3 linked regions of the Canis lupus familiaris genome follow. The protein of the gene in region 3 interacts with the protein of the main gene of each other region in a pairwise test. Links are inferred from orthologs where the notes say so. Each region holds a gene or a part of one and is shown on either strand. Other genes may lie near its edges.

What was found.
Region 1: the proteins of RHEBL1 (region 3) and FHL3 interact in binary tests that used the Homo sapiens proteins (3 or more experiments, as listed by UniProt). The two-hybrid records come from large-scale screens. The link is inferred for Canis lupus familiaris from reciprocal best matches to the Homo sapiens genes RHEBL1 and FHL3.
Region 2: the proteins of RHEBL1 (region 3) and TXNL4A interact in a two-hybrid assay, tested with the Homo sapiens proteins (2 studies listed by BioGRID and IntAct). The link is inferred for Canis lupus familiaris from reciprocal best matches to the Homo sapiens genes RHEBL1 and TXNL4A.

Annotation. Positions count from the first base shown.
Region 1 is NC_049236.1:4,649,429-4,659,744, reverse strand, and holds the start of FHL3 (four and a half LIM domains protein 3), read right to left. Parts: upstream 4,953-10,316; 5' UTR 4,866-4,952; intron 309-4,865; exon of another isoform or gene 242-308; 5' UTR 224-241; coding exon 68-223; intron 1-67. Other genes in the region: UTP11 (probable U3 small nucleolar RNA-associated protein 11), read left to right, coding at 9,413-9,475. UniProt on the Homo sapiens protein: Recruited by SOX15 to FOXK1 promoters where it acts as a transcriptional coactivator of FOXK1.
Region 2 is NC_049222.1:684,524-694,839, forward strand, and holds the start of TXNL4A (thioredoxin-like protein 4A), read left to right. Parts: upstream 1-5,192; 5' UTR 5,193-5,304; intron 5,305-5,662; exon of another isoform or gene 5,663-5,671; 5' UTR 5,672-5,705; coding exon 5,706-5,858; intron 5,859-7,759; exon of another isoform or gene 7,760-7,829; intron 7,830-10,316. UniProt on the Homo sapiens protein: Plays a role in pre-mRNA splicing as component of the U5 snRNP and U4/U6-U5 tri-snRNP complexes that are involved in spliceosome assembly, and as component of the precatalytic spliceosome (spliceosome B complex).
Region 3 is NC_049248.1:41,134,217-41,144,532, reverse strand, and holds RHEBL1 (GTPase RhebL1), read left to right. Parts: upstream 1-4,257; 5' UTR 4,258-4,497; coding exon 4,498-4,549; intron 4,550-5,179; coding exon 5,180-5,251; intron 5,252-5,596; coding exon 5,597-5,664; intron 5,665-5,960; coding exon 5,961-6,043; intron 6,044-6,130; coding exon 6,131-6,187; intron 6,188-6,379; coding exon 6,380-6,427; intron 6,428-6,771; coding exon 6,772-6,886; intron 6,887-7,010; coding exon 7,011-7,100; 3' UTR 7,101-7,525; downstream 7,526-10,316.

The sequences.
Region 1 (10,316 bases), on a different chromosome or scaffold from region 3:
GGCGATGGCACCTTTGCCCCTCTGCCAGCCTCCACCCACTCCTTGCCCAGTGTGCTCCAGCCCTTACCCTGGAGTCGTGCCCGATAAGCTGCTGGCACTCGGCACAGGTGTTGGCGAAGGTGCTGTCGTAGCAGGGCACACAGTAGGGGCCGTCGTCCGTCTGGATGTATTTGCGGCCATACAGGGACTCGCTGCATTTTGCACAGTCAAAGGCCTCGCTCATGGTGGCTGTGAGTGAGCCCTGCCAGGGGCAAAAGGTAGGGTGCGGGTCACCCAGAAGGGCTGTGGCTTGGCCCCCTGCAAAAGTCCTTTGCGATTAAAAAAAAAAAAAAAGAAAGAAAGAGCAAGAGACCAGGTCTGAGAAATGCCAGGTCAGGACAGGGGGCGATGGGGACAGGGTGCTTCTGGAAACCCAGGAGTCCTGCATGTTTATTTCTGTATTTAACAGTGGGGTGGGGTGGGGTGGGGGGAGAAGGGGTCAGGAAAAAATCAGGAAGCAGAAGTTGTTTTCTTATCTGGGCCCTGGCAGATCTGGGGGGAGGGGGCTTTTCCTGGGTCAGTGACTCATTTCCTGCCCCAGTCTGAGTTTAGCTTCCAGTGTCCCTACTGTCCCCATGGGGACGAGAGTAGGGGCAGGGAGCCACCCCACTCTGTATCCCGTAGGAACAGTACTCCCACCCTCTCCTGACTCCCAGGAAGGGGCCCCTAGGTATATGCAAAGAGGAACCTCGAGGGATGTGAATGGGCTGTGCCCGCCCTCTCCTGGTCCAGGAGCCAGCAGACTGCTGGAGGGCTGCTGGGCCATGAATGGTGGAGGTGGACGTCACCTCGGGCCTCCCTCCGGGAGAATCAGCCAGAGCAAGCACTTCAGAGGCTCAGCCTGGGTTTAAGCAGGAAGGAAATCCTGCAAGCTGGACACAGCCAAGCTTCCCCAGCTGGACCCTCTGCCCTCAGCCCCCTCCAGCCCCTGCTGGGTCTCTGGTCACACCAGCCTGGGCAGCCTCGGCCTGCAACATCTGCAGCAGCTGTGGCAGCACAGATGGCCAGATGTCAGGTCTGGCCAGCAACAGGGGAGGAAAAAAAGGGAACCTGAGACGCCTGGGGAGGGAGAGGGGAACTAAAAACATAGATGATGCAGCGTGTCCCCTGCCATCTCCAGGCAGCCATCACTCCTGGCAGAGCTTTGCAACCCCCTAGGTCATTATTTCCCTCCCCCTGCCTCTGGGAGAAACAGCCTCTCCCCAGCTTTTCCGGTTTCTGAGGGTTTGGGGTAGGGGGGGGAGTGGAGGGTGAGAGAGTGGGAGCCATGGAAGACATCTTCTCCCCAATCTGGCCCCCTCAAGTGGGGAGTCAGGCAGGGGGGAGCCCTGCGAGCTGCTGCTGCAGACACCCAGCCCCCACCAAACCTCAGACACTTTCCATTTTCTCAGGAACAAAGCATGTTTGCGGGATGAGGTCATCCACACAGCTGCCTCTGGAACAGGAGCAAGGGGACTGGGGGGGGGGGGGCAGGGAAGTGGGGTTCCCAGTCCCTTCTGCTGCCCCTGACTCCAGTTTCTGGCCCCAGATTCAGAGCTCCCACCCCCAGCCTCCTTCGTCATGAAGCCTGCTCTCTAAGGGCTGGGATCCCAGGGAGGGTGGAGAGGAACCACCAAGACTCCTAGGAAGGGGATGTTCTCACAGCTGCAGAGGAGCCTGGAGAGGACAAAGGAACCCACCAGCTCACTACCTCCCCCCCCACACACACCCCAGTAACTGGCAGTCCCCGGAGCCTGCCCAGGCTCGGGTTGATGGAAAAGTGCTCCTTTTCTCAGCCACCCCCAGTGGGAAATTCTGGCCAAGAAGCGTTGCTCTGGCTTGGAGTTCAGACTCCAGGCGCCAGCAAACGCCCCAAGCCTGGAGGGCCTGGCTCTTGAAGGGATGGTTTGTGAACTCCAAGCTGCCCTTCTGTACCACGGAGTGGGGGGAACACAGAGTTCCGATCCCGGGCCAGGCCACGAGGCCTCCAGGGGCTGGGGTCTTCAGAGAGGTGATTCTGGGGCAGGGCTATGCTGTGGGGTAGAGGGCAGCCCTCTTTCTCCATCCGCTCCCCGCCAATCAGGCCTGGGTTTCCTCTGGCCCAACATCTGAGGGTTGCCTGGGCTGTGGGCCACTGGGCAGCAGGGGGCCACACAGGTGGAGTGTGTGGCCGTGGTCCGTTGGGGAGTGCCCCAAATCTTTTCCTTCCTTTCTGGCTTGGCACACAGCAGCCATCACCTTCCCGGGCCCAGGGTAGCCCTGGGGCCACCCTCTGGGAGGCAGTCATCACTCTGAAACAGGGGCACCCCAAATAGGGTATGGGCATGGCTTCTGTTTCTTTCCCAGAATCCCCCAGTCCCCTAGTTTGTCCAGCTGGGCTCTAATGAGGACAGAGTGAAGGGCACTATGGAGACCCACCTGTCCCTGCCCATCCCCCTTCCTCCCCTCCCTCCCACTTTCCCTGGCACAGCAAGAGAACTGAAGAGAACCAGTCTTATATTCCCTCATGGCCTGGGGAGGGGGGGTTACGGAGGAGACTGCTCAGTCTGCCAAATGGCTCTCAACTCTTGTCCTCAACACACACACAAACACACACTCACACACACACCACCCCTACACCTGACACACACATCTGGCACCTTCCAGTGAGCCTCCCAGAGGTTAGAATGGCTAGATAAATGGCTGTGGCACAGTGTATAGTAGGCCCAAATGTGGCTTGGGGTGGGCATCCTGACTTCTTCCCTTACTAGCTGGGTGATCTTGGGCAAGTCACTTAAGGTTCCTGGGCCTGTTTTCCTCTACGCCTACCCCCTTCTCCCGGGGTTGTCGTCAGGCTGAAATGGTGGTGCTTGGAAAGCACCTGGCAGAAAGGGACTCCTCAGTGAATGGTAGCTGTGGGCGTTTTTATGATCAGCCCCTCACTCATACGGGGGTCAGACAAATTTCTGAGCCAGGCCTGGCTCAGGGAGCTGGCCTGGGTTTTGACCTGGACATTCTCAGGGTAGATTCAGGGATAGACCAAAGAGGGACCCCCACCCCCACTCCCCAGTTCCACTAGGGGAAGTGAAGAAGCCCAGGCCGTGGGGCTGCCTGAGGAGATCAGTGGGGCCGGCCTGGTGCCAATGAGCATAACTCCTGAGACCCCTCACACAGGTACACAGGTGTACACACCTGCATGCTGCTTGGCCTCCCATAAAGAGAAATCCCATCCACTATTTCACCAGATCTCCCAAAAGGCAGGCAGAAGAGCATGTCATTCCCATCTTACAGTCGAGCACAGGGACAAGCCAGGCCCAAGGTCACTCAGGCCTCGGAGAGCCCAGGTTCCCTGCTTCCCAGCCTGGAGCCCTTTCCTGTTTTTCTCTCTAAAAATGCTGCAGCGGTGGCAAAACGGGGTGGTCAACATTTTAAGAGCAGGGGTGTGGGAGATACTCGGTGACATCACTAGCACAGGAGTCTCACTCTTCTCCCCCAGCTGCTAACCCTGCCATTGGAAGGCACCCAGAAGCCTTTCCAACTGCCCATGCCAACCGTTCAACTCCTTTGCCCCCATCCACCCTGCACTGTCGGGGAGGACCCTGGCCAGGCCTCACAGCTGTGAGTCAGGATCAGATCAGACCCCTCCTCCCAGCTCCCAGGAACTGACAGGAGATTTAAGGGGAGAAACCTAACCCCCCCCAGCCCCCAACCTCCGGTATCAGGCACCAACCCCAAACTCTCCCTCTCCCCACCCCTCCCCGCCATGGGGCCTGGGAGTCAGAGCAGTTTAGGGGAAGGAGGGCGGGAAGCGGGATCCAGCAGCTGCCTTGGGGACAGGAGAGGAACAGTTCATTCACCCCGGGTCCCCCAGGGCTGAAGCAGCATGTCCATGATTTGAGTTTAAAAATAAGTTGGGGCTGTCTTGGTGTGTGCCTGGGGCTCCTTTCCGACGTGCCTGTCTCAGGTCCTTGCCTCACGGGGCTCTGGCTGGCCCAGAGTCTCTGTTTCCCCGCACCCCTGCTTCCCAGTCTTTCTCAGGCCTCCGTGTCTCGGGGTCTGTCTGGGAAGCTGTCAGGGCGCCTCGAGCAAAGCCAGCTGCGCCCCACGCAGCGCGACTGAGCCTCTGCACACCTCAGCTGTCTTCGTGTTTTGGGGACCTGTGTCCCGGGCTAGTGACCTCTGCTCATTTCTACCTCTGTACACCCAAATCTCCGTAACTGAGTGCCTCCAAGGGGTTCCCACCCCGACCCCTTCGCTTCCTCCTCGGAGCACCTCTGTTCCTGAGCGTCCCTGTCTGCAGTTTCTGGACGGCTCCATAGGCCTCACAGAGGCTGATCTGCCACAGGGCTAAGGAAGCTTAGGCTTCGGGGCCCCTCACCGCCCGGGACCCTGCAAAGCCCTGGGAAGGGCGCTGCTCCGTGTTCACCGGGGTCAGGGGACGCTTCTCCTTCGAGTGCTCCAACCCACAAAACCTAGGTCCGTCCAGACGCCTCCGGTCTCCCTCTCGGGGACTCTACGCCCCCAGAACCTGTCCCTGACTCCCTGACTCGGGTCCCCGTGCAGCCCCCTGTCCAAGCCTGCCGCGCGGGCCCGCGTCTTGGTCTGGCTCCGCCCGGCTTTCAGGGAGCCTCAGTTTCCCCAACCCTCCAGGTCCCGCGCTCGACTCTGGCTTCTCCGTTTCAAACTTGGCCCCTTCCCCCCCCATCCCCAGGTGTCGAGCAGCCCCCCCCACCCCGCCGGGCGGCCGGGATCGGGGCGGTCCCGGGGGTGGGGGGGCGCCCTCCGGGGCTCGGCGCCCCCCGCTCCAAGCGCGCCCCCCGGGGCGTCGGGGGGCCCCGGGCGAGGAGCCGGCCTGGGCGGGAGCTCACCTCGGAGCGGGCGGCGGGAGCGGGGAGGCCGGGCCGCGCGTCCCTCGGTGGCTCGTACCTGCGGGCCGGGCGAGCGGGGCCGGGCGGGGCGGGCGGGGCGAGCGGGGCGAGCGGGGCGAGCGGGCGGCCGGCGGCGCTGCCGGAGCGCACGGACCCAGCGGGCGAGTGGAGCGCGGCCCCAACCCCTCCCCGAGGAAGTGCGCGCCGGGCCCGCCCCGCCCGGACCCCGCCCCCGGCCGCCCCCGCCCCGCACCCCCAGGCCGGGGGCCAGACCCCGCCCACACCCCCCCTCGGGCCCGCGGGTCTAACCTGGCTCGCCCGACCTTCCCCGGCGCCGGGACCCCGCCCCCGTCCCCTGCTCGCCTCCGCCGTCCCCTCCCCTGCTGCACCCCCTGCACCCCCCAGCAGCCCGCTGGAGACGGCCTGCTGCACTCGATCTCCAGCACGGGGGCCGGCACCCAGCCCACCCAAGTCCCCTGGGGTCCTCACTCATGGCCTCTTCGTGCGCCCCCACTCCCACCTTCCAGCTCATCCCCTCAGGGTCACACCTAGACCCAGCTTGTAAAGGGGCCTTAATCAAGCCTGGAGGCCCGGGAGTGTGTGTGTGTGAGGTGGCTTGACTCTGCTGTCACGGCCCTCCCTATCAATGGGAACCAAGGTGTTCTCTGGAAACAGGGAGTGAAGAAGGGACCCCCCCACCTCCGCCTCCGCCTGACCCCAGACTGGGCCTTGACCTTCAATGATTTCACAACTTTTGAGTGGCAAAAACAGAAGTACCCCCCACCTCCTCACCTCCGGAGGCACCCTGGGACAGAGAAGTTCGGCCTTGGGTTTCCACAGTGCCCAGGAATAGTTATGACCTTTGAGGCCCAGGGGAGACCCTAATCCTTGGCCCCATGGTTTTTGGGTTTCTCAGGGAGGGGTGTGAAGAGTGTGCGCGGATGGGGCACCGCAGGGTTGGTGGAGGGAAGTGGAGGGAACCCTTCCTCCCCCACCTCTACAGTTTCCAATCCTCTGGCTTTCTCCCTGCGCCCCAGGAGGGAGGACTGCTGCCTGCCAGGGACACAAGGCCCCTCCAGGTCCTTGGGCCAATCCCCCTGGGATCCTCAGGCTTGTCACTAGGCATAAATAGCCTCGATCTAGAAGGGTGGGGAAGGGAGGAGGAGGCTGTGCTGTACTGTTTGCAAAACAGGAGACAACAAACTGACTCTAGAAATAACCTCAGCATCTAGAGTAGAGACTCAGGTGCCACAGGGCTTCTCCCATCCCCCAGGCTGGGTCTAGCCAAGCTCTCAGAACAGAGACTCATTTGCTCCCAGGCCAGGCCTCCTGAATACCTTCCTCTCCCATCTCTAAATCATATTCCTGTCTTCCCGGATCCCAAGTCACCGTCGAGGCCAGGTTTCCTCCCCAAATTAAACTATTTGCTTGGTTATTGTTCCTAATGCCTAGATTGTCATGAGGCCATGAGGGCAGGACTGGGTTCTTCTTGTTCACTACCACATTCCCAGTACCTACTCCTATGTCTGCCATATAATAAATATTGAACGAATGAATGAATGACAGACGCTGCTTCAGTTTCAACTCCTCCCCACCCCAGTTTGGACCTCAGGTACCTGCTACCTGGAGTCCAGGGAGTGACCAGCCAGCGCATGGGTGAGCCTTTCTCTGGCCTTTGTCATCTAGGTGTAGGAGGCTCCTTGCCTTGGGAAGGGCTCTGAGGTGAGGGGAGAGCAAAGATGAGCAGCTTTCAGAGAGGGAGGGGTATGACTAAGGAAGCTGCTGGATCAAAGGTAGAGTTGGGGTCTCTAGTGTTTCCTCATGGCTTGTATCTCTGCTGAACAGCCTTAATAGGAGCCAGCATTTCCCAAGTTCTTTGCACCAGTCCCTGCCTAAGCACGTTGCATACACTAATGCACTTGACTATCCAACAACTGTATGAAATGTGTATTCTTATCCTTATTTTAAAGATGAAAAAAAAAGGAAATACAGAGAGAGTAAGTAACCTGCCAAGGGCAACACAGCTAATAACAGCAAAGCCTGGATTCAAATCCAGACAGTCAAATGTCAAAGCTCCTTATGCCAAAAAGAGCTTAACTGGCCAGACCTGCAGCCTCTTTAGTCACTCAACCTCTTTACCCCTCCGGCTGCTCATCGGTTAAGAGTGGTTGACTCCCTGACTCACAGCATTCTCGCGAATATTGGAGGAGAGTATACAACAGGTATTGAATATGTGGGATTTGCTTTGCCCCAATACATTCCCTTTCACGGTCAAGTGTTAAGGTTCTGCTGCTTGGATTGGAGGTTAGAGAAAATTAGATTTCTGGCTTGGCCTAGCCTGGGGGAGGGACACTGGTATAGGGCAGGGGCTATGTCCTTTCCCCTTCCCATTTGTAGCTCCCCAGTGGGTTCACATTTCCATTGGCCCAGGATGACTACGTGCCTTAGGGAGGTCTAGGGATCAGCCACATGGACTCCCTGTTCCTGTTTCCCATCAGGCCTCCCCCGCCCTCTGGGGAACAGGTGTGTCCGAGCTGGGGCTGGAAGAAGAGCCTGATTGCTGGATGACTAGCCTTGGGTGAGTGGGCTCTGGGTTCCCCTTCCACCACCCAGGAGGCCCCTATACACCTTTCCTTATCTTGTGGTGGAAGGGAGCTTGCTCAGGGTCTCCTGGCTATTCTTTCAACCTGGAAGCGTTTTTTAAAAGGAGGCCCTGGGTGACAACTGACAGGCCTCTTATGGTTTCCTCTGGGTGCTGAATCACTCCCTGATGCTTGTGATCACAAGCCTTCCTTTCCCCAGTGAGAAGACTTCCTTCCTTCTCTGGGCGTATTGCCTGCTCTTACCCATTGGGCTGCCTGGAGCCCCTGCCAGGACTCATGGCTTAGCAGACACCCTCTTTCAGATTGCCCAGGAACACTATTCTCGTGACCCCAAGCCTGGCAATGCTCCATGGGTGTAGAAGGTGAAGTAAGCGACTTCCATAGAGTATGCAGGGTCGGGGGGTGGGGGGGTGGGAGGGGAGGTGAGCGGAAGAGCTAAATGCTGACTACATGCGGGCCATTATGCCAAGTGCTAGCCTTGGCCTCCTTGGGTTCTCACAGAAGCTATATGGGTTGGTTATATTATTACCACTATATGATAGAGTAGGATGTGGCACTCAGGGAATTTGACAATGTGGCCCCAAATCCAAGCTGATAGTGGTGCATATGCGGTTCAAATCCAAGGCTGATTCCTGGGTCCCGTTAACCGGGCTGAGGCTGGAGTGGTGGGCCAAATCAGGAAGGGCCTTGTCTTTCAGTGGTTACGTCACGAATGAAGTAGACGCTTGTTCATGTCTGGGACCCTTTGCACATGACACATCTCAGCTACTTTCAGCTTTGTCATGCCCACCCATCTACTGGAATGGCACCTCCTGGGACTGAGGAGAGGATTTCCTCAGAGCGCTTCAGCTGTAGGGCCGAGACCTGTCATGACAGGGTGCACAGAACCTGCTTAGGGTTAGCTTCATGTGATGGAAAAGAAACCAGATGCCCCTGAATGCTCCGCTGTACGGGCCCCTCTATCCTTACCGGTAGGTTTAGCAATGACAACCACAACCATTGCTCCCATTGATTGTGAACTTGTTTAAGGGCTGAGCACGGCATTAAGCACTTTAAACATATTAGTTCCTTTAATCCCTTACAACAATTCTGTGGGTGTAGCATTATTACTACCGTTTTATAGATGGGGAGACTGAGGTGCATTGGAGCTAATTTTGTCGTGGTGGGTGGCAGTTTAGGATCAGAACACACCTCTATGGTTTTTGGCCCTAATATATTGTACTGCCTCTGACACTCGTCCTCCCAGCTAGCCATTTCCCTGAGGGTGTGAAGGGCTCCAATTTTATCACTACTGCTAGGATAGAACTCCTCCATTCTACTGTGAGCCTCTTGACTGTCCCTGTGATGCAAGCAGAGCACACTATCATTATCCTTGTTTTATGGTCGAGAAAAATGATGCTCATTAAAGAGACCTGTCTACAGTCACACGGCCAGTAAGTGGCAGAGCCAAACATGGCTTTTAAGGCCTCCTGACTCTAGGGTGCTCTTTCCGGTGCAGGGTAACATTGACACGACTCCACCTTTAACCGCACCGCGCAAATAGAGCAAGGGGAGTAGGGCGGCAGGGGCCCGCGCATGCGCACACTCCACGCGCAGCTCAGCCCGAGGGCAGTGCCAGCCACGTGTTCTCAGGTGCCAACGCGGAGCCGAGCGCGAAAACGAGATCTCGGTACACGTGCCCAAGCTCTGGCGAATGAGAACGGACTCTCGCAGAGTCACGGGATTAGACCTAGGAAACTACACTTCCCAGAGGCAGCTTCGGGGCTGGACGCCTCTGCCGGAGGACGAAGTTCCGGAAAGGCAGGCGCCGGATAGGCTGCGCGGAGGAAGTGGGCGGTTCTAAGCCCCTGGCGCTCGGCCTACTTCCGGGAGGATCGGCGGACGCGGCGGACGCGGCGGCCGAGGCGGTGCGGGGCAGGCGTTGTCTCCGGAGCGCGAGCGGACATGGCGGCGGCGTTTCGGAAGGCGGCGAAGTCCCGGCAGCGGGAACACCGAGAGCGAAGCCAGGTGGGACGGCACGGGCCCCAGGAGCGCCGGCCCGTGCCCGCGGGTGCTCCCTCCTCCTCCCCTTCCTCCTCCTCCTCTCCACCTGCGGCTCCCTCCCCTCCCCCTCCCCTTCCTTCTCCCTCCCCTCCCCCCTCCCTCTGCGGTCCCCTCCCCTCCGTCCTCCTCTCCTCCCCTCCCCCTCCCCCTCTACGGGCCCGGGTCCCTGCCGCGCATGGGGGGGGGGGGCGCGTGTAAATAAACGCGAGTGTCTGCGGAGGGCGCCGGGTGCCCGGGGCGGAGCCTTGCGGCGGGCGAGCTGGGGGCGTCCAGCACCCCGGGAGGAGCACTGGCTGCTCCCCGTTCCCTGGGCACCCCTGGGCACCACGGGGAGACGTCTTGCGAGGTTTCAGTGAGGGAGTTGGGCGAGACACTGTGTGCAAAGTGCTTGACCTTCTGGGGGGGGCGGGGACAGGTGAGATCAAAGCGCACACTTGCTGGAGCTGGAGCCATCCCGAGTGCTCGCCCAGCTCACTGCACAGGGGGTCTGTGACCCAGGAGATGGGCGATGGTAACGTTAGCACCGTCAGGCGTGGGCTTGGCGCAGAATCCGCGGAGACCTGCCGCGTACCCATTTTATGTGTCACGCCGTAACGTTGAGGTTTTCCGTCCCTATCGTACAGGTGAGGAAACGGAGGTCCAGGCAGCTTCTGTGACTCGCCCAGTCGCAACCATCAGATTCAGGTGGATAGACACTCATAGGACCTCACCCGCACGGAGCATGTGTCTCTGTTGGGGAGGTGGAGTAGAAATTAGTTGCATGTATGAAGAATCAGTGTATCCGCTCCGCTGTGCCTGGAAAGCC
Region 2 (10,316 bases), on a different chromosome or scaffold from region 3:
AGGAGGCAGAGCAATCAGAAAACAACACATTTATCAGTCCACCATCTTCCATCAGAACCAAACCCAAGGTGGTCAGCCTGATGCTCAGCAAACACAATCACTGAGACATCAAGTACGCAGCAAGGGAAGACTTTGAGAGGCAGCCACAATAGGGGGCAGGAGGGAAACCCTCACATCCACCTCCCCAAAGAGGAGAGCCACAGGAAATGAAAAGTCTGGGGAAAGGGTGCAGCTGTGCTCAGTAGCCCACAGTGGACATTGGTCTGGTTAACCCCAGGTTACTGCTTCTAGGAGGAGCAAAAATCGCGGTGCCCCAAACAACGACACGAGTAACATCAAAGATCACTAGTCACATATCATCACAACAAATAAGTTTTTATAATAATTATATAATTATAACTTATAATAATAATGAAAAAGGTTTGGAATATTGCGAGAATTACCAAAATATGAGAGATAGGAAGTGAGTAAATGCTGTTGGAAAAATGGTGCTGGTAGAGTTGCCACAAACCTTCAACTTCTAAAATATGCAGGATCTGTAAAGTGCAATAAAATGAAGTATACCACGAGGTAAAAGAGGCAAAATTAGCCTAAACAATATGTGGTTTGGTTTGGCATATTTCTGCACTTAAGTTCATGGAATCAACCCTTATGTAGCCTTCATGACCTGCTTTGTTCTAAGCTTATTAGCACATGAGACTCCTCTCTGTTCACCTGTGGATCAAGAGTTGGTCACTTAATTGATTGAGACACCCAGGGCCCCACATGTAAGCATTTTAAATCATTTATTTTCAGTATGGGGCCTCTGCTGGAATTTGAAAGCAAAGTCTCACCTTAACATTGTCTTACATCTGACTCAAATAATTTTTTTCTTTTAAAAATGCAAATTCCAGGGCAGCCCAGGTGGCTCAGTGGTTTAGCGCCACTTGCGGCCCAGGGCCTGATCCTGGAGATGGGGGATCAAGTCCCACGTCAGGCTCCCTGCGAGGAGCCTGCTTCTCCCTCTGCCTGTGTCTCTGCCTCTCTCTCTCTCATGAATAAATAAACAAAATCTTTAAAAAAATAAAAAGTAAATAAAAATGCAGATTCCGGAGGTAACTGGAGGATTCTTAAGGGTCGGATTCTTGATTTTGGCTCTTGTCATGACCTCTGGCTATGGGATCGAGCCCCACATCAGGTTCTGCACTAGATGAGGAGCCTGCTTAAGGTTCTCTCTCTCCCTCCGCCCCTCCCCCACTAAAAAATAATTTAAAAAATGCAAATTCCTCTGGGGGCACTATACGGCTCTCCAGTCATTTTTCTTTCTTACCTTTCTTTTTTAAAAAGTCTCCATTGATTTTTCATTAATTCAGTCAAATTGCTCTCTTCCTCAACCTAACTCAAGCCAGTGCTCTGAAGGAAGGAACACTGGATACCTGTATCCTTTCATAAGGACACACAGGGACACCTGCTCCCTGACAAATACCCCCCATTTGCTTCATTCATCGTGGATGGAACTGGAGGGTATTATGCTGAGTGAAGTAAGTCAATCGGAGAAGGACAAACTTATATGTTCTCATTCATTTGGGGAATATAAAAAATAGTGAAAGGGTATAGAAGGGAAGGGAGAAGAAATGGGTAGGAAATATCAGAAAGGGAGACAGAATATAAAGACTCCTAACTCTGGGAAACGAACTAGGGGTGGTGGAAGGGGCGGAGGGCAGGGGGTGGGGGTGAATGGGTGACGGGCACTGAGGGGGGCACTTGACGGGATGAGCACTGGGTGTTATTCTGTATGTTGGCAAATTGAACACCAATAAAAAATTAATTCATTATTAAAATAAATAAATAAAACAAATAAAATCTGAATGCTTTCCCTCTAAGATGAGGAACAAGTCTCTCTTGCCACTTCTATTCAACAGAGCAGGTAGGCAAAAACACAATGAAAAGCATCCAGACTATAAAAGTAGTAAAACTGTCCCTATTTGCAGATGACATGATCTTGTATATAGAAAATCCTAAGTATCCAACTAAAAAACTATTCCAAGTAATGAATGATTCAGCAAGATTGCAGAATGCAAGATCAGTATCCAAAGATCAACCGTATTTCTATACACTAGTTACAAATAATCTAAAAATATTTAAAACAACAATCCCATTTATTTATTTATGTTTAAGATTTATTTATTTATTTTAGAGAGACAGAAGAGGAACAGAGGAGGAGGAGAGAATCCTCAAGCACATTCCCTGCTGAGCACAAAGCCCAATGTGGTGCTCCATCCGAGGATCCTGAGATCATGACCTGAGCCAAAATCAAGAGTCAGAGGCTTAATCTACTGAGCCATCCAGGCACGTCAACAATTCCATTTAAATATCATCAAAAAAGAATAAAATATTTAGGAATTAATTTAACTTCCCTCCCTAAAAAAAACACAAGACGTGAACACTGGAAAATATAAAAGTCATAGAAATAAAGACCTAAGCAAATGGAAAGACATCCTTCACCCACTGACGACTCAACATTAAGATGGCAGCACAGTACTCCCTAAATTGGTGAAGAGTCAACACAGTCCCTGTCAAAATCCCAGCTGCCTTTTTTGCAGAAATTGACAAGCTAATCCTAAAGTTCATATGCAAATACAAGGGACCCAGAATAGCCAAACCAATCATGAAAAGGAATAAAGGTGGAGGGCTCATACTTCCTAATTTCAAGACCTACACAAAGCTGTATCAAGAAAGTGTGGTACCTACATTAGGCTACATACATACCTACATACATATCAGTGGGATAGAACTGAGAATCCAGAAATAAATCCTTACATTCAAAATCAACTGATTTAAAAAAAAACAAAACAAAACAAAAACAAACGGAACCAAACCAAACCAAAACAAACAAACAAAAAACAAAATCAACTGATTTCCATCAAGGGTGCCAGGACACTCTGATAGGGAAAGAAAAATATTCCCAATAAACGGCGTCAGAACAAGTGGATGTCTAAATATGCAGAGAATGATGGTGGACACCTAGCACCCACATACACAGAAGTTCACTCACAGTGATCAAAGACCCAAATGTGAAAGTTAATGGAGGTGCCTGGCTGGCTCAGTCTGTGGAGCATGCAACTCATGAGTTCAAGTCCCACACTGGGCCTAAAGCTTACTTAGAAAAAAAAAAAAAAAAAAGTTGTTTAAAAAAAAAAAGAAGTTAAAAATTCTTAGAAGAAAGCAGGAGTAAGCATTCACAACATTGAATGAGGTAATGGTTTCTTAGATATGACACCGAAACATACAACACCACAGCAACAAAAGGAAATGATGAACTGGACATAATGAAAATTTAAAACTTTTGGGCTGCAAATGATGCCAATAAGAAGTGTGGTCAACAGAATGGGAAGAAATATTTTAAAATCATATATCTAATGAAACTCTTAAAACTCAATAATAAAGATAACTTTTTTTAAATGGGCAAAGGATATGTACAGATATTTCTCCAAGTGGGGGATAAGTATGTGAGAGGATGCTCTGTATATTGTTAACCATCACGGAAATGCAAGTCAAAATCACAGTATCAGGGCACATCTACCACAAGGCTGTAATAAAAAATACACAAATAACAAGTGTAGGCAAAGATGTGGAGGGATCAAACCTCTCACGCTTTGCTGTTGGGAATGTTAGAAGGTGTAGCCACGAGGCATCTGGGTGGCTCAGTAGGTCAACGTCCGCCTTCCGCCTTTTGGCTAAGCTCAGGTCGCGGTCTCTGGGTCCGGGGTTTGGAGTCCCCGCAGGGCCTGCTCGGTGGGAAGCCGGCTTCCCCTGCCCCGCCTCCCCGCCCCACCCCTCCGCCGCTCCCCTACCCTACGACTTGGGGGCATGCACGTGCTCTCTTGAATAAATACAATAAAGCTGCAGCCATTCTTGAAAACAGTTCGTATTCCATAAAATGTTAAACACGGTTATCGCGTGACCCCGGCTTTCCACTCATATACTCTTAGGGAAGCGAAAACCTAAGTCCACACAAACACAAATCCAGATGTTCACAGCAGCATATGCACGACGGCCAGAAAGTGGAAACAGCCAAATGTCAGACGATGGATAAATGAAATGCACACACTGGGTGACGGGCCCTGAGGGGGCACCTGACGGGACGGGCACGGGGTGTTATTCTAGATGTCGACAAATTGAACACCAACAAAAAATAAATGTATAAAAAATAAAAATAAAAAAATGCACACATGCGTATGATGAAGTGGTAACCAGCACCGAGGACCGAATCCTGACGCCCGCGGACAGCGCGGCCTGGAGAAGGCAGTCCCGGGCGATGTCCCGGTCGGTCTCCGCTCGCACGAACTGCCCGGGGCAGGCGGGGGCAGGGAGGCGGGCGGGAGTCCGCGGTCGCCGGGGCTCAGGGACCGCGGGGAGTGGGGACGACCAGCCGACCGCGCTCGGGCCTCCCCCCAGCAGGACGGGAGCTGCCCCAACGGAGACCGCAGTGGCGCTTCTACGACCCCCCGGGGCTGCAGCGCGAGGACCCCACAGGACGTGGGGGATCCTCCGTCAGCTTCTTGACAAAAAGGACGCGCCCGGAGGCGGACGGGGCGACGGGCGACAAGGGCCGTGCGTGTTTCACACGGTGACCCACACCTTAGCTGGTCTTCTGCTGACGCGGCGACCGCACAGCGGGGCCTAGTCTGCCCTGACCGCCCCGGGGACGGCTGTGCGGTGAGCAGGACGGGCCTTCCCCAGCCCGTCACGTCACGGTCCTCGGCCTGTCCCGTGTGCCGGCCCCGTCCCCCGGCTCCCAGCGCTGCTCCCCGCCGGGACCCGAACCGCACCTCGCAGCTCCGCTCGGCCGGCTGCCCTCGTCACACCCCCAGGGCACGGGGGCGCCGCGGAGAAGCTGGGTCGCTCCGAGGGGCCTGACTGGGGCTGAGAATCAGGCGGCAAAGCCGGGCCCCCCGTGACCGCGGCGACACCTCAGGAGACCGACCCCGCGGGGTCCGGGGGCCACCGGCCGCACCGCCCGGGCGCACACGGGAGCCCCGGCTCGGTGTCCCTCCCTCCCGGCGCCGGGCGCGCGCGGCCCCTCGTCGGCGGCCACGCGCACGCGCACGCGCACGCGCACGCTCACGCTTACGTCGGGCGGCCACGCGCACGCGCACGCGCACGCTCACGCTTACGTCGGGCGGCCACGCGCACGCTCACGCTCACGCTCGCGTCGGCGGCCACGCGCACGCTCACGCTCGCGTCGGCGGCCACGCGCACGCACCGACCGGCTCGCGTCCCCGCCGGGAAGGGCTGCCGCGCGGGAGGCTGCGGTCGGCTGAGGTGCGGGCGGACGGAGCGGGGAGCGGGGGCGAGGGAGGCAGGGGCTGGCGTCTGCGGGGCGTCCTCGCGGCCCCGTTCTCCTTCCAGGGGTAGAGCTTGACAGGGGCCGGGGCCGGGGCCGGGGGCCGGGGGCAAGGTCTGCGGGGGTCCCAGGCCCTCCCCGCGGCGGGACCGAGGGGCACGGATGGGGGCGACCCCGGGGCCTCCGCACCGGGGACTGGGTCTGCAGGGCGTCCCCTCAGTGCCGTCCCTCTTCCAGGGGTCGGGGGGGTGAGGTCTGCTGTGGGACCCAGGGGCGCGGGCGGGTGCGACGTGCAGCCCTTGCCCGCAGTCGGCCGCAAGGAGCCGGTGCGCACAGTTCCCGCAGGTGTGCCCGCAGGTGTACCCGGAGCCGCCCCGAGATGTCGTACATGCTCCCACACCTGCACAACGGCTGGCAGGTGGATCAGGCCATCCTGTCGGAGGAGGACCGCGTGGTCGTCATCCGCTTTGGACACGACTGGGACCCCACGTGTATGAAGATGGACGAGGTGCTGTACAGCATCGCGGAGAAGGTAACACAGCCCCCCGCCCAGCGTCAGCCTAGGAAGCTGTGGTCTTTGGTTTGCCCCGTTTGCTAGGTGGCTGCAGGGTTGGAGTGAGGTGACCGCGTGCAGGTCCTCCTCTTCCTCCAGGCTGCAGAGGCGCAGCAGGGTCCAAGGGCCTGACCCCCGCGTGGAGGCTCCAGGCCTCAGAGGGTAGGGTGCGGCGGGCTCAGGGGGCCTGACCCTGTGCCCCGAGGCTACGGTCCTTCCGTGGGAGCAGTGTGTCCCTGGTCTCCAGGTTTTGAAGGGGTTCATGGTGCCACCTCCACGGAGCTGGGAGCAGCACACCTAGGGACTTCGTGGAACGCCATTTTAGCCAGGTAGCTGCACAGGATTGCCAGTTTTTGGTGCTTTGCTCCCTGTGTGTGGGAGGCAGTCGTGCCTGTCAGGGGAAGGAAAGCCTGTTCTCCATCCCGGTCTTTGTGCCCTAAGTGCACTCCTAGCTCAGACGTGCTCTGGGAGACTTGCCTGGTTGGACCCAGTCTGGGTCACCATGCTGGCACCCTGGCTTGTCGGAGGCTCTGTTGGCAGTTCCAGAACCAGCAGCACCTGGTGCTCTCCTGTGGGCTCTGTGGGCTCATTTCAGGAGAACTTTCATTTGGATGTGTAGTTGTAGCCAATTCATAGATTACTTACTGATATTCCGTAAATAAGGAGAGGTCAAGAGTAATGGAAACATTAAAGCCATGATTTCTTTCAGAGGAAGAAGGGCTTAAGATAGCTCAGTACATGGTAACAGGTGTAGGGACAGATGTGTCTGGGAAAGGCGAAGTCTCGGGGGTCAGAGCAGGACCCCACATTGAGGTTAGTTCACTAACAACTATCTGACCTTCCACTGCTACTTTTTCTGATCTCCTGTGTGGCGGGAGAAGCCAAGCGAGGCCGGGTGGTAGCACTGGGAACCGTGGAACTGTGGAGGCCGTCTTTCCGGTCAGTCACGTGAGGATCGCTTGGAAGACTTGCTCAGGTGCACCTCCGAGGTTCTCGTTCTGCAGGTCTGGGGTGAGGTCCACACACAGCTCTGCCCAAAAGCTGCCCTGGGAATTCTGAAGTGGCTTCCAAAAACCACTTGGCAGAGTTCGGGATCAGAGTAAGGGTGCTGGGAGACTGGCCGTTCCCTTTCTCTTCTTGGGGAGCCTGAGGAGGTGCCTGGGGAGCTCGGGAGAGCTGCGGCGCCAGTTTGTCGCGTCAAAAGCAGACACTGCTGTGGTCAGTGAAGAACCACCTCCAAGCACTTTCCTGAGAAACACCATTGCTGCTCTGTTGACCTTGAAATAACGTAGGGTGTGTGTTCTGAATTGTGCGGGGCATGTGGGGGCATAAACACCAGGTGGTGACCAGCTCCTGCTGCCCTCGGTGCAGGGTCAGGATGGTTAGAGACGGGAGGCTCCTTTGGCTCTTCATACCCAGGCAAAACCCAGCAAGACGCTCTTCTTTGGGAGACAGATTTTGTGTTAACCTGAGCTCTTAGGGACTTTCAGCAAGTTGTTTGTTCTTTTCCCATCCCTGTGTGTCAGCTGTAGGCTGGACTGCGGGATCACTGAGGAACGCACTCTGGGATCGAACCTACTGATAAGAACAGTTTAGTTGGGCTCACTTTGAGTATTTGTCTTTGTTTTATCTTTAAGGTACTTTTTCTTTGGTCCAAAAATTTGGATTTCTGTTTTAATAAACTTTTAATATTATATAGTACAGTTATTAGAAATGCAAACTTGAAACTCATCACAAGATAATTGTTTTATTTTCTTCTGTGTAAAGGCAAAACATGAGTTTATAATTCTGGAAGTCCTTCTTGAGCTCAACAGGAATTTTTGAAATTTAAAGTTTTAGTATAAAGAACAACTTAACTATCTAAAAATCTCCCTCTGCAGAAATGGCAGATAGTGGGGGATCTTCCTCATCCTGTCTCGAGCCCTGTTTGGATACCCCAGCTGTTTTAAAGTGAGTAAAAGTTCCACCGTTTAGGCTGGACTTGATTAGATTGTTTCTCCGGGAATGTGGTGTGTTGACTTGATGCTTTGATGGTGCCAACCATCATGAGGCCACCACCTCATGCTGTATTAGTTTTGAGCTGCCCTGAAAACATGGGAGGTAAGCTTAATGATTTTACAGATGTCTGGAGCTTGGTAGAGTGGTAATAACAAAGTTTCCTATTTAAAATCTGATTTTATGCACAGCCTCAGGGAGAGGCTGTGTACCTCTGAGCTGTCTTACCATTTTGCAGGAACAGTTTGTCACAGCTCGCTGTTAACTTAAACCCCACGATGGGGAAGAATAAATGGGACTTTTAATTTTTGCATGTTAAAAAAAAAAACCCATGCAAATAGTTTAAGATCTGCAAAACCTCGGTGACATCATTGATTCAGGATCATACATTCAAGAAAATTGTATATGAGACAAATAGACATGGAACTTTTTGGAAATGATTTTAAGGGATCATTCTTAAGTTGCATAAAGTAAATTGAATCTTTCTGGAGGTGACGTGCAGTCAAATGAGGTATCTCATACGCGCCAGGAACTTGTGTATGTTTGCTATGGCTTTGTGTTTCTGGGTGCAGTGACCTTGGAGCTAGCAGCAGGCTATGAGGGGCAGCATGGAGTGCTGGTGTCTGCTACGTGCTCCCCGTGTGATCCTACATAACTTGTCTCTGTGCCTCACTTTACTGTCTGCAAGAAAGGGGTAGTAGTGCCTAACCCATTGATAGTCGTGAGGATAGAATTAGCATAACAGGCTTCTGGACCACTTCCTGTCACGTGGCAGGTAACACAGGCAGGAGTCATTAGCCACTGTTATCAGTGACCTCGTCATTCACGTTACAGAAGTTGCTAATCAGGCAGACAGCTTGGGAAAATAAAGTCATTGCGCAGTATTTTTGAGGCTTCGACGTGAATTACCTAAAAATGGACTCTTTGGAACTAAAATACATTGTGCCAATTGACAGTCCAGAACATGCTCCCCAGCTTCCTGGGTGGGTTCTTAGCTGGAGGAGCTCTGTGGGAAAGGTTGGACCGGTGGCCTTGTGCTGCCCTTCTTGCCTTAGTGATTTGCGTGAGTCCTGTCGACTTGGAAACAGATTTAGTGGCATATGATGAAGGACGGCTGCACAGCTTGGTCAGTGACTTGTTGAAGGAAAAGGAGGTGTGCTTATAAAACGTGTAGGCGGGCAGCCCGGGTGGCTCAGTGGTTTAGCGCCACCTTCGGCCCAGGGCATGATCTTGGAGACCTGGGATTGAGTCCCACGTTGGGCTCCCTTCATGGAGCCTGCTTCTCCCTCTGCCTGTGTCTCTGCCTCTCTCTCTCTCTCTCTCTCTCTCTCTGAATAAATAAATAAATCTTTAAAAAAAAAAAAAAAAAAGAGGACTCCCATGGGTAGAGAGGCAAAGAACCTAAAAAAAAGAGATCCTAGTGGTTAAGTAAGCTTCAGAGATGCACACGTTGAAGTAGCATGCTGCCGTTTCTCATACGTCAGAGGGAAGGAATTTACTGCAGTGGTGCCGAGAGGGTTAATACTGACACACTTCTGGAAGCAATTGGGCATCGCATGAAAGGCCTTAGAACTCAGTAGCCCAGCTCTCCAGTCCTAAAGAGGACTCTTCTGCTCCACGGGACATTTGCTGTGATTTCTCAGCAGAGCTGGAAGCAGTGAAAGGGTCGGTGATAGGACAGCAGCGTGACGACTGTAATCTCTAGATCATGAGCAGGTAACCCCCGTGTGACCTTCACATCCCTGAGGCAGGTACACCAGGTCACTTGTTCAGGCTGCGAAATGGACAGTTGGGATTTGAATCGGGAATGTCTGCTTCACCCGATAGTGTATTATTTGGCTGCTAAAAAATTATTTTAGAAATCATGTAGAAAAATGATTTTCTAAATACTGTGGGCATTTGCTAATGATGTCAGCTGGAGAAAGGAGGGCAAACATGACTTCCTCACACGTGAGTGTGTGGGCCTGGGGAAAGGGAAGGACTTTTCACTACAAGACACTCCTATTGATTTTATTTGATTGTTGTATATTTTTAAGTTCTGTAACTTGTTTAAAAAATACTGGGCTGGAGCACCTGGCCGGCTCAGTCAGTGGAGCGGGCGCTCTTGATCTTGGGGCCTTGATCAAGATCACGCATTGGGGTTAGAGTTCACTTAAAAATACGGGGCTGGACACATGGCAGTGGTTTTTCCATTCTGTTTCTCTATTTTCAAAGTGAATCTTTTTTAAATAGAGAAAATAGAGTAGACCCCTAGTTTCATTTCAGTTTTATAAAAAATACACAGGATTGTAGTGGATCACAGATTCCCTACCAGGTGTGACACGGGTGAAATAGATGAGACTGTTGTGGAAGGGCTTGAGATGAGAAGCCATGTAGCCCATGTTAGGAGAAGCTTTGGCAGACGGAGGCTGTTCAGAGGAAGGACACTGTCGGGCGGCCCAG
Region 3 (10,316 bases):
CACCCAACAGGGTCTGTGGCCTCTGGCAACCACATGAGTGAGTCCAGGAGACACAACAGAAGAGTTGCCAGTTCAACCCACGGAGTGAGGAGAAATAATATATATATTTAAACCATCAAGGTTTTGTCATCGTTGTTGTTGTTTTTAAGTACTCTCTATGCCCGGCATGGGGCTTAAACTCATGATCCTGAGGTCCAAAGTTGCATGCTCTACAGATTGAGCCAGCCAAGTGTCCCTGGAAGCCATACTTTAAAAAATATATAAAATAAATAAATAAATATATAAAAAATATATAAATAAATAAATACATAATTTGAGGGAGAGAGTGAGAGAGAGACAGAGAGAGAGAGAGAGAGAGAGAGCATGCATGATAAGAGGGAGGGGCAGAGGGAGACAAAAAGAGAGAAAGAATCTCCAGCAGACTCCCCACTGAGTGTGGAGCCTGACATGGGGTTTGATCCCAGGACCTTAAGATCACGACCTGAGGTGATCGTGGGTCCCTTTCTGAGGTCAGAGTAAGTGGCTCTTTGAAACAACTTTTGTAGATCTGGACTTTTTAAAGTATTAGGTAGTTCCACAGTATACAAGAGTTGGTCACTTAACTGACTGAGCCACGCAGGCGCCCCAGAACCCATACTTTTGATACAAACATAGTAAAAATGTTTTCACTTCTCAAGGAGATACTTAAAACAGTTTTCTGGGAGTATTTAATCTTTATTTTGTCTCAGTTGTTTGAGACATAGCAAAATATATGATGCCATCCCTAGAAATTTTATTCCAAGCCCATTTACCTGCCATTAGGATAGTTTACTTTCCTTAGTTGATTCTATATTCATGACCTGTGTATATCTGTGATCTTTACAAAGTAACCAATGATGCATTACTCTTTAAGGTGATTGATATTTAATAAACACATATCTTGGTCCTGAGGTGTGCAGGTCTTGTAGATTGGCTCCCTGAACATTTATTCCTAATCACCTTCTCTTAACCTTCCTTTATTATAGAGGGTAGAAAAGAAAACGTTAAAATTTCCAGGCTCTCAGGGATCCCTGGGTGGCTCAGCGGTTAAGTGCCTGCCTTCAGCCTGGGGCATGATCCTGGGGACCTAGGACCTAGGATCGAGTCCCATGTCGGGCTCCCTGTATGGAGCCTGCTTCTCCCTCTGTCTCTCTCTCCATGTTTCTCATGAATAAATAAATAAAATCTTAAAAAAAAATTTTTTCCAGGCTCTCTTGCAGCTTGAGATGGCCATATAATAGTTCGGTTTAAGGAAATGTAGGTGAAAATCTGCTGTGAGATCTTCTCTCCTGTATAAAAAGAAAAAGCCACGAGAGGAGGAAGCCCTTTGTCTTAGTCCTATTCCTTTCTTCCTGATTGAAAGCAAGAGAATTTGAGGATGATTTAATAAAGAGAATATTTACAAAGGTGCGAACAGGGTGTAGGAAAACCACAGGGGTAAAGTAATACCCTAGGGTGAGTATCAGAGCAGCTGTTACCCATGTAGGCCTGAAGGGGAGGGAGCAACCAGAAAACAGAACAAGAGGGAGTGTGTATGGGTGTGTGTGTATGGGGGGTGATGTGAGGGTGCTAGGACCTTCAGTGGGGGTTACAGATACTCTCCCCACTCCATCTGAGCTTCTGTGAGGGTTTCCCTTAGACTGAATTCTGCTGGGATGCAGGCAGCAAGGTCTGCCTCCTGGAAACCAATCTGGGTGGAAAAGAATAGAGAGTTAATCTGGAAAGACAAACAGCATAAAAGGCATCTCATTTATCTTTATACCCATACTGTGCTAACACGTGGTGAGAGTATCTGGTACAAAGCAGGAGATGAACAAATTTTTGTTGAATTTATTAAATCCAGTTCTTTGTTCTACCCTGTAGTGCTTAAGACTCAATCTGAAATCTCCACCAAGCTCACTCAAGCCAAATAATTCAACATAAAATTGCTAATCTGCAAGGAACTTCCTTTACCCAGTTGAAAAGGCATTTGGGTCCCTTTCAGAGGCCAGAGTAAGTGGCTCTTTGAAACAAGTTTTGTAGATTTGACTTTGTAAAGCATTAGATAGTTCCACAGTTATACAAAGCCTGTTCTCTTGGGATGCCTGGGTGGCTCAGTGGTTGAGTGTCTGCCTTCGGCTCAGGGCCTGATCCCAGGATCCAGGATCCAGTCCCACATTGGGCTCCCTGCATGGAGCCTGCTTCTCCTTCTGCCTATGTCTCGGCCTCACTCTCTCTGTGTCTCTTATGAATAAATAAATAAATCTTAAAAAAAAAAAGCACTTCTCCTCTAGTACAATCTAACTTACCTGAGACTTCAACAGGCCCTTTCAGAAGAAATAACTTCTGTGTGCTATCTATATGGCTAAGCCTCAGCTTTCACATCTGTAAAATTAGAGTCGTAATAGCTACCCATCATCAAGTCTCAGGTACAAATGTCACTCCTCAAGATATCATATAAACGGAGTACCATACCCCATCACTCTCTAGCCCATTAATACCTTGTTATTCCCCCCTTGCAGTGATTACTTTTATTTTTTATTATAGCTTATTTATTGTTTATTTGTAGATTATTGGTCTTCTCCCAAAAGAATATTTGCTCCTTATGAGCAAAGACCTTGTCTGTGTTGTTTATTGCTCTATTTCCAGCATCTAGAATGGACATGATTGTTGTTTGATAAATATTTGTTGATGAATGGATAAATAATACCAATTATCAACTTTAGGGCTGTTATGAATATTAAATAACATAATAATGCAATGCACCTGGCACAAAGTAGAACACCATAAATCTAGCTGTTGTTTTCTTTCTTCTTTTTCCCTCCCTCACCTCCTATATTCAGTCCTTTAGCAAGTCATTTTGACCTCAGCCTCAAAACATACCTGGAATTCTCTATCTACTTCATTCATCTCTACCAGCCTACTCCAGCCCCCTTTCCCTCTCACCTGGACTACAAGTAAGGCTCTTAGCTGATCTCCCAGCTTTTCCTCTTGCTCCCGTCAGCTTCATTCTTCACAGAGAGGTTGTTTTTTCTTTTTTTTTTTTTTAACCAGGGAAATCCTTTATTTTTTAAAAGATTTTATTTATTTATTCATGAGAGACACACAGAGAGGGCAGAGACATAGGCCAATGGAGAAGCAGGCTCCCCATGAGAAGCTGGATGTGGGACTCGATCCCCAGACCTGGGATACCACTGAACCACCCAGGAGCCCATAAACCAGGGAAACCTTTCAGAAACACAATTCAGATATTCAAATCATCTGCTGCTTTTTGGATACCCAAACTTTGCAAGGCCTGGCCCTCTGCCATCATCTTAGACTTGATCTGCTTTAGGCTGACATAAACTCTTCTCTCCCTTTCTCCTAGAATTTAACGAATTTATTTTCATCGCAGCACGCACAGCCCTGATGGATTCTTCTGCCAGAATTTAGTTCTAGCTAGCTCCTTTCTGTCTTTCAGACCTCAGTTTAAATAGGGATTCCTTTGAGAGGAAGTATTACTCAATCTAATGCGGTCATCTCTTATTTTACCACATTTTATAGCGCTCAATACCATCTAATATTTCCTTGTTTATATGTTTGTCTCTTCTAACTACGTTTTAAGCTTTGTGAGCACAGAGACCTTGTCTGTCGCGTTCGTTGCTCTATCCCCTAAGCTGGAACAATGCCTGCAGCATACAGTACCTGCATGATAAATATTTGTTGAATAAATGAATGCATTGATTATGATGATGGTAACCAAACTTCAGACGACCTGGCCAAACATTCTGACGACTTCCTCACGAATAACAATCGCATTTCCGAAAATCCTGGTAGACTGTGGAAATCTGTGGAAACAATAAAAAATCCTGGTAGACTGTGAAATCTGTGGAAACAATAAAAAAGATCTGGGGCCGAAATCTGGGGGAAGCAGAGGTAATAGAGCGGAACTTGGGCCTTTTCTTCCCTCTCCAAGGACTGCAGAGACCTCGCAAAAGGGCAGCCTAGAATCTTCTGACCAGAAATTCCCGCCCCGCCACAACGGGTATTTTTCCATGCATGATTCTTCGCAGCCACTTCTGCGAGGTTGAAAATGCGCAAACACCTCTAGGACCCCGAGTTCCTTTCTGTTTCTTTATGAATGAACCGGCTCTAGTCTGCGCAGGCGCAGCTCCGCGTTCTCCGGCTCCACGTGAGGCCCACCCTTCCCTCCCGCGGGCGGCCCCGCCCTCGTCCTTTCTAACGAGCCAATGGCGAGCGGCCTGGGGGGCGGAGCCCGGAGCGCGCGGCACTGTAGATCCCCCGGCGCCCGGCTCCCTCGCGTTAGTCTTGCTGTGTTGTGATCACGTGGCCAGCTCCGGGCGCGGCGCTTGTTTTGGTTTCCCTCTAGCAGGTCCCTGGCAGCTCCGGAGTGAGCGACTTTCCTGGGCCGGTTGCTGCGCCTGCCTCACCCCCTGATCTCCTCCTCCTGGGGCTCCTGCAGCCCGCAGCTCGGCAAGCCCCTCGGGGCCGGCTCCTGCCATGCCGCTAGTTCGCTACAGGAAGGTGGTCATCCTCGGGTACCGCTCTGTAGGTGAGTCTCCGCCTCGGGGAGAGCGCGGACGCACCGCGGCTTTGTGGCCAGAGGAGGCGCGCTGTCGCGGGAACGCGACCCAGAGAGGAATGGTGGCATCGTTAGAACGGGGTTGTAGGGCGAGGACTGAAAGGATGGAGGAGGAAAGGCTGGGGTGGTGGCGGCGTGTGGAGGGCTGAAGGAAGTAGGAGCGTGCAAGGGTTAACGCGGGCTTGGTTGCAGGAACACAGAGTGACCCCCAGCGTTACCCTGGGAGGGGTGGGGATGGGGTCAGGATTTGATGCTGAGCGGGGCGGGCGGGGGGGGGGGGGCGCGGTCTGTGCGGGGCCCGTCTCAGGTGTCCGGGTGCGGGGCAGACTTGATCCTAGGGGAATCCCGGATCTTCCCGGGGGTGGGGTGGGGAAAGGCGGCAGGAAAGGCTTCCTGCGGCGCTGCTGAATGCATCCGGTGGCTAGGGTGCAGAGACCCAAGGCGAAGAGAGAGTGAGGGTGGGCTAAGGAAAAACATTGCATGGCACCCGCAGGCTGGGCTGCTCGTGTGGTCCTCTTTAGTCCTGGGCCACAGCCCGAAAGGACAGAGGATGTGAATGTGGTTGGATGATTTGGCTACAACTACCGCTGCTTCCCACAGGGAAGACATCTTTGGCACATCAGTTTGTGGAGGGCGAGTTCCTGGAAGGCTATGATCCTACAGTGGAGAACAGTGAGTAGATTTCTCCCCTAGGGGTGGGGCAGGGAGGTCTTTGTTGCCCCACCCAATTCCATAATTTGGGATTTTTCTGGTCCCAAGGGGCTGATTTAATTAGCCATTAGATCTAATCTCTTCTGTAGCAATCCTGTTAGTGGAGCTAGAGTATGGGTTTTGCAGGATACTGCATCCAGGATGGTGTCGACTAGACAAAAAGAACCTGAAGGTTGTCTCTCCAGCTGCCTGGAGAGCCGCCTAGAGCTGGTCCATCAGAGTTATCCCTAGGGTTCAGAACATATCGGGGCACACATTGCTAGCCCTACAAGGCAACTCATAGTCAAGTTTTCTTTTTCTTTTCAGCTTACAGCAAGATAGTGACTCTTGGCAAAGATGAGTTTCACCTACACCTGGTGGATACAGCAGGGCAGGTACCAGTTTGGGGTAGGGTATCTAAACTTGGGGTAGAGTATCTAAACGCGGCAGTCCAGTCGGGGGAGAGGAAGTCTGGTTGCCTCTGTGGCTCATCTGTAAAGTAGTATTAAAAGGAAAGCATCTTAGCAGCTGGTAACGTGCCGTGCACATGGGAGCTACTCTGTACGTACTTGGTCAAACGGAAATGACTGCAGGAGGAAGTGCCCCAGAGAGGGTCCCCAGGACGCAGCCCACCAGCCTTTTGGCATCTGAGCGCTGCGTGGTTAGTGTTGATGTTTGTGTTTCTCGTCAGGACGAGTACAGCATCCTGCCCTATTCCTTCATCATTGGGGTCCACGGTTATGTGCTTGTGTACTCTGTTACCTCTCTGCACAGGTAAGTGACCAACATTGAGGTGGGGACTTGGGAGGATCTGAGGGCTGTCCCAGAATAAATTTATGGTTCTATTCCTTGTGTTTAAAGCTTCCAAGTCATCGCGAGCCTGTACCAAAAGCTACACGAAGGCCATGGGAAAACACGGTAAGTGGCCCTGGGAAGCAGACACACAGTGTGGACATGACGGGACGGAAGAGAGGGGAGGGTCCAAGTTACAGAGGAGGCCAGCTCAGAGCCTATCCGGCCTGCTGGGAGAATTGTCCAGCCCTGATGCGAGGGGAGTTGGGTTCCATGTGGAGCGGAGGGTATCCTGTAGTAACTCGTATTTCTTCACAGGCTGCCAGTGGTGCTAGTGGGGAATAAGGCCGATCTCTCTCCAGACAGGTAAGGAGATCTCTATGGCTCAAGGCAAAGGGAAGTGAGATGGACTAGCAGCCAGTCGGGTTCTAGTCCTGGCTCTGCCGCGGACTTGAACAAATTGTCTCACCTCCTTTCGCTTCTAACTTGAAGGTTAAGACAAGATAACCCTTCTATTGCAAAAGCTATACTTTCATATTTAGCCTCAGTCTGAGACTTCTGGGTTCTCTTTTATTTTCTCCTTCCCCAACCCACCTCCCAAACCTTGGAAGTGGGTTGGGTCAGAAGAAGTCTAGATTCTATATAACGATTTTGTAGAGAACATGGGGACATTGCTATCCTCCATCTTCATATCCCCAATTTGCTTCTAGGGAGGTGCAGGCAGTTGAAGGGAAGAAGCTGGCAGAGTCCTGGGGTGCAACGTTTATGGAGTCATCTGCTCGAGAGAATCAGGTGCTTGGGCTGAAGATTAGGGGCAAGATCAGGGTAGTAGTGTTTTTCTTATGGCACTGCTTGGTGGTGGGGATGGTGGGGGAGTGGGGTTTACACCTCTGAGCTGGGTCGTATTGGCAATGAACTGACTTTTTTGCCCGAATCTTTGTCCTTGCAGCTTACCCGAGGCATCTTCACCAAAGTCATACAGGAGATTGCTCGGGTAGAGAATTCCTATGGGCAAGAGCGCCGCTGCCGGCTCATGTGAGCCCTCAGGCATTGGGTAGCTGCCTTGATTCTGCCCCTGGCACTTGCCAGGCTCCAGCGGGTGTAGGCCCTTAGGACTTCACGGGTATGGTTGCCAGCTGTGTCCCCAGTCCTCTGGTCGCACAGTGTGGTACCCTCATGTTTGCACACTATTCCAGGCTCCAGTGGCCTGGTTGTCAATGTTTACAATGGGGCAAGGATGTCTCATGGGCACTGGCCTCTAGTCCTCTGTTTTTGCTAAATGAATTGTTATAACTTGCAAGATTGGCATATGAGTCCTAAGCATTGCTTATTTAGGACTCAGTCTTCTGTGCAGGTTTTGGGTGTTGGCTGGGTGAAGGGAGCTGGGGACTCCTGAAGTGGAGCTGGCTCCCTAGTGTGACAATGTATATATGCAAATAAACTGAGAAATCTTTTTGTGGTTGACTTCTGTATGTGGGGAATGCTTGGGGCCAGTATCTATTTTTCCAAGGAGTGGTGACTATGACTTTTGGTGGGGAATCAGGGCTCTTGCATTCTACCTTATTCCTATTCCTTACTCCTCACTCATTCAGGAGGACCATTATCTGAAGACTTACTACTTACTTTTTCCCACCTTTTTGCTAGGCTCTCCTATGCAGGTACCAGTTGGCTGCCACTCCCATCCAAGATTGTAGACTCAAGATCCCCTTAACTACAGAAACACCACCCTCTAGTGGCCAGCTTCCACATGCTGACCCAGCTTCCCTCCTGGGGCTTTGGCATTCCCTGGCTGGCGCTCAGAGAGGCTAAGGTTTGGGGAGGAAGGAAACTCCTCATCATAGGGATGTAATAACTGAGAAGGAGTGTAGAGGCAGGGACTAAAGTGTTGGTGAGGATTTTGGCTTTCGAAGAGAGTTGAGTAAAATAAGAAATAATGCCCCTGGTGTATATCAATCCTGCTCCCCATGTCCTCAGAGCCTTTCATTAAATGGATATTTGGTCTTTTCCTACCATTGGTGACCTCTTCATACCCTTTACATCTTTGGAATTGTGCCACTTTTTTAGATGTCAAAGGGTAATGCTTCTCTTTTTTTTAAAGATTTATATTAGAGAGGATGAGAGTATGCCTGAGCCCAGGGAAGGGAGGGGCAGAGAAAGAAACTCAAGTAGATTCTGGGAGCTCTATCTCATGACCTTGAGGTCATGGCTAAAGCCAAAATTAAGAGCCGGCTGCTCAACTGACTGAGCCACCCAGGCACCCCTACTTCTATTCTTTCTTATTGACCAGCCATCCCAGTAGGAGCAGACATTTCAGCTAGGTAGGGTTGGTCCTATCTGCCTCCGCTTTTCCTGCTCACCCTCCACCCCTACCAGACCTAGGGCCTAACTGGCCAATACCTCCTCTAAGGACCTATAAGGGTTGCTGGAATAGTGTATCCTTCATAGGGAGACACAGACTTCTCTTGCTACCTGAGGGAGCCTGAGGTGGGAGGATGGGGAGGATGGGCAAAGTCTTAGCTGTGACCTTGCCAGTGCCTGACTCTAGGCTAGTTGGGCTTACAGTTGGGGAGATTGTCCTGCCGGTCTTCAAAAGTGCTGCCAGCTGCTTTTGCATATCTAACTAGAATCTAAAAAATAAGAGCTGTTGGAAGGGGCATTATCCAAACAGCAATCTCAGTAGTTTGGGATTCTCTTTAGGGTTGTCACCACCCTCTTTTTTCTTACATTAAGATCGGGTCCTTTTCCACATCTTACCTGAAATACTCATCACAGGCTATCTATTGCCCTGCTGCCATTTCCATGAGGTCTAAGACAAGTCTTGTTTGAAATTTTCTAAAAGTGTATCAAACAATCTTAAAGGCCTGATAGAAGAATGAATATTAGTTAATGGCTAGGTTGGAATACTTTTCCACTTAGCTGTGTGACCTTGTATAGTCCCTTACCCTCTCTAAGCCTCAGTTTCTTATTTATGAAGTATAGTTCAACCTTCACAGAGTTGAGGTGAGAATTAAATTGAGGTGATATATGAAATGCTTAGAACAGTCATAATAAACTCTTAAATGGTGGCTATAGTGCTATTGGAGGTCTTTTTGGTGAAGGTCAGCCTCCTCATTTCTGGATGTAGAAGGTAGGGAGAGACCTAACATTTTCCAACTTTGTAAAAAGGTTTATTTTTAAAGATTTTATTTTAAGTAATACCTATACCCAACATGGGACTCAAACTTAACAATCCTGAGATAAACAATCACATGCTCTGACTGAGCCAAGCCAGGTATCCCTATTTTCCAACTCTTGTCTTGGTTAATTAATTAAAATATTTATTCATTCATGAGACACACACAGAGGCAGGGACACAGGCAGAGGGAGAAGCAGGCTCCTCACAGGGAGCTTGATGCGGGACTTGATCCCAGATCCTGGGATCACGCCCTGAGCTGAAGGCAGATGCTCAACCGCTGAGCCACCCAGGTGTCCCTTGTCTTGGTTATTTAGTATAGCTGAGACAGGTGTGGGGTCACTGCTGGACTTTTTGTTGAAATAAACCTGAATGGTCAGTGCAGGCAGGGTACGTGATGCTAGCATGGGCTAGCACAGGCTATTGCCTATTTCTGATCCCTCCTATGAACCTGGCTGGTAGGGATTTAGGTTTTCTGCACTGTCCAATATGGAGGCCACATATGGCTACTTAAGTTTTAGTATTAACGTTAAAAAGTTCCTCAGTTGCACCATCTACATTTCAAAGTGTTCAACAGCTACATGCAGCTAAGCCAAATTAGACAGTGTAGCTGTAGTGCATTTCCATTATTGCAGAAAATTCTATCGGACAACATTGTAAACCCTTTCCCACAAAGCCAGCCCCCGTCCCTGATTTGCCTCTTTCTCCACATCCTCCTTAAAATAACGTTATTTTATATATATATATCTATCTTAGGAAAAACATGGCCATTGGTTTGAATCATGGATGTCACTCGATGTGGTTCACTGGGAAATTTTACCTATTTCATTTTGCCTCGATCTCACCATCACAGACTTAATTCCACATAGTTCATAAAGAGGGTGAGGAATAACTAAGAATGTATAAAGTATCTAGCACATAGTTAATTTGTCTCCTCCTGTTCGTCCGCGGTTACAGCTGATGCAGAAAAGGCATTCCAGTCCCTTCTCACCCAGACTTTATGGGGGTCGATGGGGGAACGCCTGTAAGTAGTGTTTTGGGATGTTGGCTAGAGTAACAGCACTCCGGCCAGGTAGCAGGAGG